2 linked regions of the Arabidopsis thaliana genome follow. The protein of the gene in region 2 interacts with the protein of the main gene of each other region in a biochemical or structural test. Each region holds a gene or a part of one and is shown on either strand. Other genes may lie near its edges.

Region 1 (8,277 bases), on a different chromosome or scaffold from region 2:
AGCAAGTAACTGTTTCTCTGAGATATTCTGCGGATTCAAGTGTAAGAATCTTTTTTTGCAATGTTTTTCATATGTTTATCACGTTTTGCACTGTTCATCAAAGTTTTCGGTGCGCTGCAGAAAACTAGGTCAAATGCATTATGCATAGCGTTTAAAATATGTAATTAGTCCCACCCATTCATAGTTTAAGACAAAGACTAGCAATTAGAGCATATATAGGTCCAACCTTACAGGATTGAGAAAAACTCTATAGTACAACATATTCGATTCAAATAATGTTATCTCTGTACTCAAGTTTTTTTGGACCACGATATATATTCCCACTTAAGTACTAATTTTGGGACCATATATATATTCAGATTAACAATGTTTGATACAATGCATGAATGTGTCACTTTACGTCCAATTCTGAAGTCAGTGTCAAGTTATTACAAATACATTCTCTCTCTGGACCAAGACAAGTTATTACAATACATTATACAATGCATCATGAATGTATCAATTCCTTTTTGCTTACTGATTCTTTGCATTATTTTACGAGGGTAAAAACAATAACAATTTTATTAATTTTCAACCCATAGTTTTTATTTTTAAATTGTAGTTTTTACAAAACTAAACAACAAAAAGACGTAACGTCTTTGTAAGATTTTCATGTGGATTTAGGGTTTTAATCGTCTGCTTTGTCTACTCACAGCGGGAATTCTTTCTGCAAGAGATCGAGATTCCTTGACTCACAAGCTTCTATCATGTCTTGCCTTGATGCACAACTGCATTATGTTTTAACAAAGTTCCAAAATATCAACTGACTTTGTAAGAAATCGCATCGGAATTTAAATGGCGTTTTTCGAGTTTACGAGCTTATACTGTACCTTAACGAGAGTCTCAAGTATTGCCATGCGTTATCAGCTTTAGGATTCATCGCAAGGGCACGGACATAATACGGGATTGATTCTTTGTACATCCCCTGTTACAATAACAAACATGATAGCATACCACATTTCAGTTGGTTCCAGTCCATAAACAACCATCAAACAAGAAACAAAGACTGAAATCAAACCTGGTTTGCGTAACTGATTCCCATGTTTGCCCAAGCACGAACATAATTTGGTTTTAAATCTAGAGCCTGCAAGTAAAAAAACAGTCAGAAAGAGACGGAAATATAAAACTTTGAGAAGTTTTGATTTCTGTGCGTAGAACAGAACCTGTTGATAAGCAGATATGGCATCAGCACTCTGGACACTGTTGGCTTGCGTTGCACCTAGCTTATTCCACAGAGAATAATCGTTTGGTTTTAGTTGTAATGCTGTTTGGAAGGATGTGATTGCTCTATCGAACTCTCTCGACAGATTGTAGAGCACGCCCAACACTATATGCACATCGGCGTCCTCAGGATTCAACTGAGAAGCTTCATTGAATAATCTAGCAATCTGTTTATAGCATAGACAAGGAATTCAAGTTTCAATACAAATATTGAGATTCAACTGTGGAGAATTTAGAAAAGAAAGAGCACTTACATCAGCATGGTACAAAGAATCCGCTAGCTCCGGAGGCGCAATTGCTCCATACTTTGGGTGATTTCGCAGCCATCCATATAGATATTTCAAAGCAGTTGCTTGCTCTAACTCTGTAGTTACAGAGAACAAGATTTTAATTACCAATCTAATTCCAAAAAATGTATGACCACAAGTATCCATATATGTGAACAAAACAAACACATATTGCTAGATAACATGCACTGACCGTTGGTATGACTCACACCAAGCGCAAGAAGCACCTCTAGATTTGTGGGATCAGCCTCCTGTGCACGCATCATTGCAGCTATTGCCTGCATCCACAACGACAATTGTTTTGAAAATTGACTAAGTTTCATCATTTTGATAAGGTATAGGAGATTAATATTCATGCAAATTAATCTAACTAACCTGTTGATCATCATCGTTCTCTGCGTGTGTGACCCCAAGTAATCTCCAACCTTCAGCATTCTCAGGGTTTTTCATAACCTCAGCTTCTAGAGCAAGCGCTGCTTCACTCAGAAGTCCTTTTCGAAACAATTCTTGCCCTTCTTTCATAGGTTCAGGGTGACCCACATAAGGATTCATGTCAGAGAAGACGTAGACACCACTGGTTTGTTTTCCAGCATTTTTCTCATTCAGAAACCTAGAAAGGCACATACTTTTGTTAGATGAACTTAAAAGTCAAAGATGCATGTTGGATAAACATTGTTAGACTCCATAGATAAAAATTAGGAGGTTATCAGAAATAATCCCTTAAACAGGCGAATCATAATGGTAGATATGAAACTGCATAGTTGCAAAAATAGGTTCGCCTAAGCAAGGATTAAGGAACCAGAGAGAAATGCATAGGGGAAAAGTAACAAATAAGTTGAAAACACCCATTGTGTCTGCACTTACCTACCCCCACAAGGATAACAGAATGGAATTGAAAGGGAACTTATAAGATTTGTGAAGAATGAAAAAAAGAAGAAGAGAACTTAAATTATAGATCAATTAGAGTACAGTGGACTTACTCATCGTAAGCATTTGCCCATGCATCAGCTGAACTATCACCCACGGGACCTTCAGCAAATTCATCTATCCAGTCATCAACATTCAACTTTGAAAACTCATTAACCCATTGGTCCTCGGCTGTTTCTTGCTGTCCTCTCCCGGAAGCAAACTCATCAGCCCACTGTTCTGGTCCATGTGAAAGCTGTAACACACCAAAGTAGAAGCTTATGTTAGATGCAGGGTGATGCGTCTTATAAAAGAGAAAAAAGAGATGATACGTTGTCAATATACTTTCTAACATGTCAGGACTTCAGATTCTGTAACTATAAGGAACCATTGGAAAAATGTGCAAAGAGAGATCTAAGCTGAAGCCTTTCCACTATAGAGAGGTTACAGATATAAAATCACGAGATTACTAAACCTATCATCATGAGCTTCAATTGCGGATACAAAGGCCATCCAAGACAAAGGTATACCAATAAATCAATTACATTAGCATGCTAAAGTGGCAAGTAAGACCCTAAAGTGAACAGATACTTCATTAAATAAATACATACTTTCTCATTTGCAAATTGATCAGCCCAACTTGGTGGCCCCAGATACTGCTGTTCATATTCAGTAGCCCATTCCCCGGGGGCTGAAGCTTGCTTGACCTGATTCTCATCAATAATAAGTTCACCACGGCTCATCTTGGAAACAAACTGAAGGAATCTTGAATTCTGCATTCACCAAACATGTTTGCCAAGTTTTACATAAATCGAGAACAGCTCAGCACATGAAGTCAACAGGAAAAGCATAATTAAAATTTGTGATATGATTTCAGAGATATTCGAATTCTAGAACATAGACCAACAAAAAAAAATTCTATGTTCAGTAAAAGATCACAGCCCAGAAAAGAGATATGTCGTCCAACAGTACAGTTTACAGCAACCTGACCGACTGATACTACTATCAAAGGCTGTTTAGAAATGAAGGAATTCACTTCGAAAGCACATAATTATTAATGGTAGGTTATACTGACCTGAAATTTCGGATTCCCATCTTGAGATAGTGTATGGGCAAGCTTACGAGTCTGCTCCATTGCAGCTATATTTTGCATATCCATACTTCTCATTTGGCTTGACATCAATTGAGATTGACCCTTTAGAAAGTTCAAGAAAATAAAAAGGATGAGGCGCCAAATATTTTCAGAAGAACATGATAAATTATCAGAAAGCCAAGCTGTTGGGATATCAAATGCGACTCAAACACTGATGACTAATACAGCATAAAAAAAGTCACAACAGATTCAGGCTTGTGAACAACTATGCCCTAGTGACTATCGAAATCAAAGTCTACACTACCAAAATAAATGCCCTCATAATGTCTTTGATACTCATTGAAAGCTTATAAACATATGTTTGGGATGGGCAATCAAAGAGAAGTTTCAAACAACTGAAGGAAAAAGTTTCTATCATATAGCTATTTATGCTAGTTACCTGCTCGAACTCAGTAGCCCACCCATTCACACCATGTTGTTGCTCAAAAGACTGGACCCATGAATCAGGACCACCATGATCCATCCCATGTTGGTTAAATTCAGCCGCCCAATTGTCAGCAGGATGTAAATTAGGTTTCACAACAGCTTGAGACTCATTCCAGTAATCATCTAGCTCCCGAAATCTCCCGGGAACATGACCTCGAGCTTGTATCCCATCATCAATATCTAAAGATGACAATAATGCGTTTACCTTGAAAAACAATGCCGAACAAAATATTCAGCCAACGACATGGAGAAGAGAAAACGGCTTAGGCCATCGGCAACAAACAAAAGGCTTAACTATACTGCACAGCTGGCATGGTCTCGAGAAATCCATACTAGATAGGAACAATTACCAAGTAAAACAACAGCTATAATTCCCAAACAAAAGCCCTGACCCACAGATGATTGTGATATATGACAGTGACAGTGCTACCTCGTTGCATTCCAAAATGTTACATTTTGATTTAAACTCAAGATGAAGGAGAGTGGACCTGAACTTTCTTGTAATTACACTTCGTTATATAATTGAATAGATCTTGATTTCAAAAGGGCAATGGGCATGAATGATATAACACCAAAATATTAAGTATATACTCGACCCTTAAAACCTAAGTTGAAAGCATATAACACAATGTTGCAGCTACAGAACACTATCAGATAAATGGCAAACCTGAGAATTAATAAATTCCTCTCCCCTATCGGCAAAAAAATGCCGGGCCATTATGCTACTACGATCACGTATACATTGTTTGTCACTTTGTGACAATCCTAGAACTGGAACAGGTGCTGGACGAAATGGAATACCACCACGGCTACTCTCAACAAATGAATGCAGAAAGTTTGATAAAACTCTCTGTGGGGGTCCTGCAATATATAAGCAATGGAAAAACTAATCAAGCAAGCAAACGAAAAATGCCTCACTCGACATTAGGCTATATAACTAAGACAGAGCTATGAATATTCAACGTGTCATTCAGGAGAAATAGGACTCATGGAAAGAAATGACCACACTATTTATTTCATGTCGCTATACTAAATTACTAACTAACACTTTCAGTGTTAACTTCTCTTCCTACAAAAATAATGTTATGTACTTCTCGATTCAAGATGAATATGTGAAAATATATACTACCTTTTATTCAATATCAAAACCACTACATCTAACCGTTTTGTATCCGGGATTAAATAAAAGTGGTATAGATCAAATCACAAACCTTCAAATGTAGGCTGAACTGGCTCAAACATAGGTCCCATTGGAGGCATAGGTCCACCTTGCTGTACCTCATCCCAAGCTGCACCCAAACCATTCTGATCAACAGAGCGAAAACCACGGAAGAACTCTGACCCCTAATGTAAAAATTGCAAACCCATCAGCCATCACAGAGGCTAGATAATCAGAGTCAATACTACCATTGTAAAACCAAAACTTTCCACAACATTAACCTGAGCACCCGGTTGCAGAAGTGGCTGATCTAACTCAGAACCAGGAAGTGACCTTATCTGTTGGTCTTCAGAGTAAAATTGTGGCCGAGGACCTGACCGGTTTGCATTAGGTATCTCCTTGAGCCTTTCCTGCACAACAAATCACCAATCATCAACATTTCTTCAAATTCTCAGGAAATTTTAAACCTTTAAACAATTGTCAGCCAAATCACTTGACATAATCGAAGAACGTCTAAAACCCTAACACTACGGAAAGAAAAATCGAAACTTGGCAAGCAAATAACAAAACCCAACGAAAAATGAGATCTAATTCGACTTCTTAGTTCCAGGAGAACCAAGGAAAAGGCGAAGAATGGAATCAGGAGACTTCAAATGTCAACACTGTTTCGATCAAAAAGGAATCAGGAAGCTAACCTGGGTTTTGGAAGACGAACCAAGTAAAGCGTTGGTGAGAGCTCCGAGAGGATTAGAAGAAGAAGACGAACCAGGAACGGCACAAGCGGCTCCGCCGTTAACAAGGTCTCTCATCGCCATGTTTCCAACGGGTTTCTACTCCTCCGCCGCAATCACCGTCGTTGAATCTATCAGTATGGTTTCCTCCGTTGTCCGGAATTGATCATCAACCTCCCAAATCCTAATCTTTAGTTTGGCTCGTCTCGTGGCGGTGTTTTTTTTGTTTGTTGTGTTTGGTCACAGCTTCGTAAGAAATTATTAAATTTTTTGATAGTATTTTGGTAATTAATATTTATATATTATCCACACCACACACATTTTTAGGCTCACCAACACATTTTTGTTTAGTTATTTATTTTTGTGAAAAAACCGTTTTTTACAGTATCCGTAATTAAAAATGAATTGTTGTGAATATAGTTTTTTTTTATCTTTCTTTATCAAGATATGTTTTATCTTTTTGTCCGATTTGCTGCCACTTTTGAATTTTGTAGTTTCCTATTAGTGTTGAATTATATTTGCTTGATCATACCAAAGATAAATAAATTATATTGCTTGATTTTTGCTGGGTTTAGTTATATTTCTTGATTGATTGTGCAATGCGTTACAAACGAAGGTAGATTCTACTCTTGTACTCATATCACACATTTGGACGACCAACATGACTTCACTAATTTCATCAATAACTAAAAAAAAAAAAAAAATTCATCTACATCAACAATAGTTACAATATGCTAGGCATCTCTAGATTTTTTTTTCCTTTCATTAACTTGCAAGAATTTACACACTAGAAATCAAACATTTTGTGGAAAAAATTATAACCTTTAGTCTAACCACTGAACTATTGAACTTTCATATTGAAAAATTTGATGAATGTTGTCTGTTTTCAAATTTCTAGTACATTTTTTGTCAACTTCAGATATCTGATTTTATGAGTCTCAATCGTTTGGTTTATCTTATTTTCGTTTGTTAATTAATATAATTAGTTTCCAAAATGAAAAAATGTAATTGGAAAAACAAGTCATGAGGCCCAACCGCATATATAAGTCCTACGCTCGGCCCATACAGAAAAAACTAATATCCATATAGTTGACCCGGAAGACCCGATCTAGGATCCGAATCCACATTGATTTAAATAAAAAAAATCTTCATAAAAAAACTAAAAACCCAAAAACCAAAGAATTCATCAAAGGAGAGAGAGATCGACAATGGCACCTTCGTCATCAAGCGGTTTAACCTTCAAGCTACATCCTTTGGTAATCGTCAACATATCGGATCACTACACTAGGGTCAAAACTCAGCTCAATCCTCCTGCTTCAATCTGCGCAAGCGGCCATGGCTCAAACAACGGCGAAGCAATGTTCCAGCAAAACCCTAGGGTTTACGGATGTGTGATCGGTGTCCAGAGAGGTCGTACTGTTGAGATATTCAACAGTTTCGAGCTTTTATATGATCCTTCTACTCAAACCCTTGATAGATCTTTCCTCGAGAAGAAGCAAGAGCTCTGTAAGCTAAAGCTCACTCTTTTTATTCTCAACTATTGATGCAATCGTAAATTAAAGTTTGAACTTTTATCTGGTTTTATTGTTTATTAGATAAGAAGGTGTTCCCTGATTTCTATATTCTGGGATGGTACTCTACGGGAAGTGATGCTGAGGAATCTGATATGCATATCCATAAAGCTGTGAGTCCAATGCTCTCTCTAGTATTTTTGTATAATTGAGATTTGGTCTCTAAAAGTGTGGTTTTTGTGTCTGCTCTTGGTGACAGTTGATGGATATCAATGAATCTCCTGTTTATGTGCTTTTAAACCCTGCTATCAATCACACACAGAAGGATCTTCCAGTGACTATTTATGAAAGTGGTATGCTTCTTATAATGTCATATGGTTCTGTGGGTACATTCTGATATGTTAGCATGTTAGTATAGGTATATGCGTAGTTCAGAGTTTCTAGATATCTTCCCAAGTCTTTATCTTTATTGACTTCCAGATTTAGGTCAGATTGTTTTACAAGATCCTAACTTTTCTCTTTGTTTCATTGATTGATCTTCATTACTTGAAGAATTGCATGTCATTGATGGAATCCCGCAGCTAATTTTCGCTCATACAAGCTACACAATCGAGGTCTGTGCTTAAGTTTGATTCTGCAAATAATTTTTTTTTTTTTTGTCAAACATTCTGCAATTTAATCTATGTTATGAAAGTGTACATTGACTAAGATTTTGAGGTGTTATACAATGTAGACAGTTGAAGCTGAACGGATATCAGTTGATCATGTTGCACATCTTAAACCATCTGACGGAGGCTCAGCAGCAACCCAGTGTGAGCCTTATGTCACTAATACATATCATACT
Region 2 (4,044 bases):
TTGCACACTATAATACTTTCTTATATTTCTTCTAGTATGGTTACGTTTTAGTGTTAAACTAAAAGAACTGACAAAAAGAAAAAAATTAGATATAGCCATTAGTTATAACTTATAGCTCATGATGTCACATATGTATCATGTGGCTTACATTTGTTCAATTATCCCAGAGATAGTGATTTGTTATCCATAAGCCATATCACTAACCTTTTTTATGGACAGATTCCAAGTCTTCAAAATAAAATTTCAACTACATGTATTACTCTACATAATAAGGTTGGAAGCTGATTTATGCAACGAAGCCATCTTTTTTATACTTCCTACGATCTTTAAATAAAAATGCTCAGAGGTACAGAGGACACAATCCAAGGTGAAATAAAAAAGTGAACCAAAAATTAACGAAATAGAAGTGTCTTAAAATTAAGCAGATAGAGATAGGGAACGAAGAAATAAGATCGTTGAACAGAAAAAACTTGAAACAATCTAGTTTTGCTCTTGGGCTTCTGCAGCCTCCTTCTCTTCATTAGCTGCAGCCATTAGTTCATCAAACTTCTCAGACTTGGCAAGCGTGATCTCAATCTACAAGTCACAGTGTCACCAATTTAGCAACCAACATAGCAATTTCCCAGAGAACAAAAATCATTAGACGGAAGCTAGAATTCCACAGCATAAGCAATTTATCAAATGATTCGAAAATATATACCTTAGCTTTCTGCACAGGACGACCCCTTGAATCATCCTTGATATCCACAGTCGATGTCATGATCTCTGCAGGAAAAAACAATATCCAAATAAGCAAAACTTAGTCACTGAATCTTTCAAATCTCTTGTGCTAACATTAACTCATTCAAGATTAAGAAGATCTTACTCTTTTCAACAGCAAAGCCATTGTTCTTCAATATCTCAGCGACCGTAACAACAGTGGCAATAGCTGCACAACGCACAAATCAATGTTTTATGAGAAACCAGAATAAACTCTTCCAATAAAGAAAGCTCGGATAAGATATTACAAAATCACAGAAGATAAAAGATTCTATGTCATAACAATAAAAGGAAACAGCTTTTCTGATAATAACTTTGAATTTAATGAACTCAGTTACATAGTTTAAAAACCATACATATTAGATTTGATATATAAACAAGATCATAAAGAATAAACATTACCCATTCCTAGTGCAGACAATTCGACATCAGTGTACTGCTGCATGTACCTCTGTTAACAAAACACCAAACATGGTCAATAACATAAACAGGTTTAATCAAATCTAAAGAGCAAAACAAAGTTCACAAATCTAAGGAACAAACATTGATAAAGAGTCACATAAACAACACAGAACCACCAGTAATAACTCATCAAAGTCAATAACAGATAAATTAACACTCATGAACAATCACAGACATTTCCAGACTTGGTACTCAAATAAGAACACTTCGAATCCATAGATTTCAATCTAAATACGAATTTATTAAGATTCGATTAAAAGGGTTTCGTTACCTTGGCGAGATTGACGTAGAAGAACAATGGTTTCTTAGTGTTGGAAACTTGAATCCGATTCTTCTTCTGGGTATCAACAGCCAAGTTCATGTTGTTAACTCCTTCCGTGATCTCTTCCATTGAATCTAACTCAGAAAAATTAAAACTTCTCCTCTCGAATTTAGATTTCTCTCTCACTTTTATCTCAGAAAACGAATGAAATTGAAGAGACAGAGAGACGACGATGAAGCTTGAACCAAACCCCCAAAAAACCCTAACTTGAAATGCCAAACGACATCGTTTTAACACAACCTACACAAATGGGCTAGGCTCCAGCCCAATAGGCCCAATTGGGGGGAAAATTAATTCTGCGATGAGCAAAATCGGCGTTATCCGATCAGATCGTTGAATTGAATCTTCGAGAAGACTCTTCTTTTGATTCAATCACTCACCGGAGAAGAAGAAGAAGCTATGCCGGTGTTCAAAGCTCCGTTCAATGGCTACTCTGTGAAATTCAGTCCATTCTACGAGTCACGCCTCGCCGTCGCTACAGCTCAGAACTTCGGAATTCTCGGAAACGGCCGAATCCATGTCCTCGAGCTCGCTCCTGGAGCTCCAGGCGTAACTGAATCCGTCTCGTACGATACAGCCGACGCTGTATACGACGTATGTTGGTCAGAATCTCATGACTCTGTGCTCATCGCCGCAATTGGTGACGGCTCAGTGAAGATTTACGACACAGCTCTTCCTCCTCCTTCTAATCCGATTAGATCATTCCAAGAGCACGCGCGTGAGGTTCAATCTGTGGATTACAATCCCACGCGGCGCGATTCGTTTCTCACTTCTTCGTGGGATGATACGGTTAAGCTTTGGGCTATGGATCGTCCGGCGAGTGTAAGGACTTTTAAGGAACATGCTTATTGCGTTTATCAAGCAGTTTGGAATCCTAAACATGGTGATGTGTTTGCTTCTGCTTCTGGAGATTGTACTTTAAGGATTTGGGATGTTAGAGAACCTGGATCAACTATGATCATCCCTGCTCATGATTTTGAGATTTTGTCTTGTGATTGGAATAAGTATGATGATTGTATTTTAGCTACTTCTTCAGTGGATAAGACAGTTAAGGTTTGGGATGTTAGGAGTTATAGAGTTCCTTTGGCTGTGCTTAATGGTCATGGATATGCGGTGAGGAAGGTGAAATTCTCGCCGCATAGGAGGAGTTTGATAGCTTCTTGCTCTTATGATATGAGTGTTTGTCTTTGGGACTATATGGTGGAAGATGCTTTGGTTGGTAGGTATGATCATCATACAGAGTTTGCTGTTGGGATCGATATGAGTGTTCTTGTTGAAGGTTTAATGGCGAGTACTGGTTGGGATGAGCTTGTTTATGTTTGGCAGCAAGGGATGGATCCTAGAGCCAGTTGATTCATAAGTAAGTTTGTGATTGCAAAACAGTTTCATCTTTATTTGTTGTGGAATTGGTTTGGTTTTTGTTAAAGGAATGTAGTTGGAATAAAGTTGGGATCTTGCTTAAGAAGAAATGTAAGTTACTGAGAGTTTCACATATGAACAAGGTTATCTTTCGAATTGTGATTGATGGTAATAGTAGATAGATTGCTTATGTTCTAGTGTATATGTTAACCTGTTACAATGAGACCTGATTAACATATATATTAGGACTAAGATATATGTTAATCTTCTATAATGTCCAAAGTAATGACATAATATATATAAAGTCAATTACTTTAGGGTAATGTACCTTTTATAGTATACTGTAGAATTCGAATTTTGTTCTTTTTCATAGTTGATTGACTTTATTGAGTGGCATAAATGTACATATTTATAACTTTCTAGAGCATATTGCAGTTTCGAGCTTTTGCATTTTATGCGTCTTCAGGTAGAAGCTTATTAAAATCACAAGAACATTCTTACGGATCTTCCATTTCAAGAATCACTTTCTACTTATTACTTTACTATTATACCACTCTCTTTTTTATCTTATTCCATAGTATTAAAGATTCTTTTATTTTCTTATGATTTTTTTTTTAATATAGTACTCCGATCCCAAACAAAAGATCTCAAAACACATTTTGTCAAGTCACAAGACTCACAACCGTCTCAACTTTTGGACTAAATTCAAATCAGACAAATAATTGGGTTAAACATATGAAAGGGCTTGACATTATATCATATAGTATTAAAGTGAACTATAATATTGCTTTATCCACGAGGTCAAGAACATACTATATGTAATAGACACACATTAGTATTGACTTTTTATGTTAAAACTAGAGATTAAATTTTGTGAATTTAAATGACACATGTACGATCTTTTACTTTTGTTGTGATGCACGCGGAAGATGTTGCGAAGGATTAGAAATTGTTAAAAGAGAAGAAGGTGGTAGACTGCTCTTCATTTAGGAATATTTCTGACCATAAAACTTGTGGCATGGAAGATTATTCCTAAGAAATTATACGAAGAAGAGATCATTGTCGGAATAAAACATCGGTCTTATTTACAATGCAGTAGCATTGTACCGTGGAATATGCTTCTTTCCAAGTTTATATAACAT

Evidence for each region.
Region 1: the proteins of PEX7 (region 2) and PEX5 form a complex in vitro, tested with the Arabidopsis thaliana proteins (one study listed by BioGRID).

The regions. Positions count from the first base shown.
Region 1 is NC_003076.8:22,784,384-22,792,660, reverse strand, and holds PEX5 (peroxin 5), read right to left. Parts: upstream 6,166-8,277; 5' UTR 6,007-6,165; coding exon 5,887-6,006; intron 5,602-5,886; coding exon 5,473-5,601; intron 5,377-5,472; coding exon 5,244-5,376; intron 4,894-5,243; coding exon 4,700-4,893; intron 4,238-4,699; coding exon 3,986-4,237; intron 3,649-3,985; coding exon 3,529-3,648; intron 3,227-3,528; coding exon 3,065-3,226; intron 2,710-3,064; coding exon 2,528-2,709; intron 2,158-2,527; coding exon 1,923-2,157; intron 1,826-1,922; coding exon 1,741-1,825; intron 1,625-1,740; coding exon 1,515-1,624; intron 1,428-1,514; coding exon 1,203-1,427; intron 1,124-1,202; coding exon 1,058-1,123; intron 965-1,057; coding exon 870-964; intron 768-869; coding exon 689-767; 3' UTR 355-688; downstream 1-354. Other genes in the region: CSN6A (COP9 signalosome subunit 6A), read left to right, coding at 7,131-7,428, 7,518-7,606, 7,693-7,786, 7,986-8,047, 8,167-8,245. UniProt on the Arabidopsis thaliana protein: Receptor that mediates peroxisomal import of proteins containing a C-terminal PTS1-type tripeptide peroxisomal targeting signal (SKL-type).
Region 2 is NC_003070.9:10,222,981-10,227,024, forward strand, and holds PEX7 (peroxin 7), read left to right. Parts: upstream 1-1,834; 5' UTR 1,835-1,942; coding exon 1,943-2,896; 3' UTR 2,897-3,342; downstream 3,343-4,044. Other genes in the region: AT1G29250 (Alba DNA/RNA-binding protein), read right to left, coding at 481-576, 701-765, 866-928, 1,162-1,210, 1,493-1,612. UniProt on the Arabidopsis thaliana protein: Receptor required for the peroxisomal import of proteins containing a C-terminal PTS2-type peroxisomal targeting signal. Specifically binds to cargo proteins containing a PTS2 peroxisomal targeting signal in the cytosol.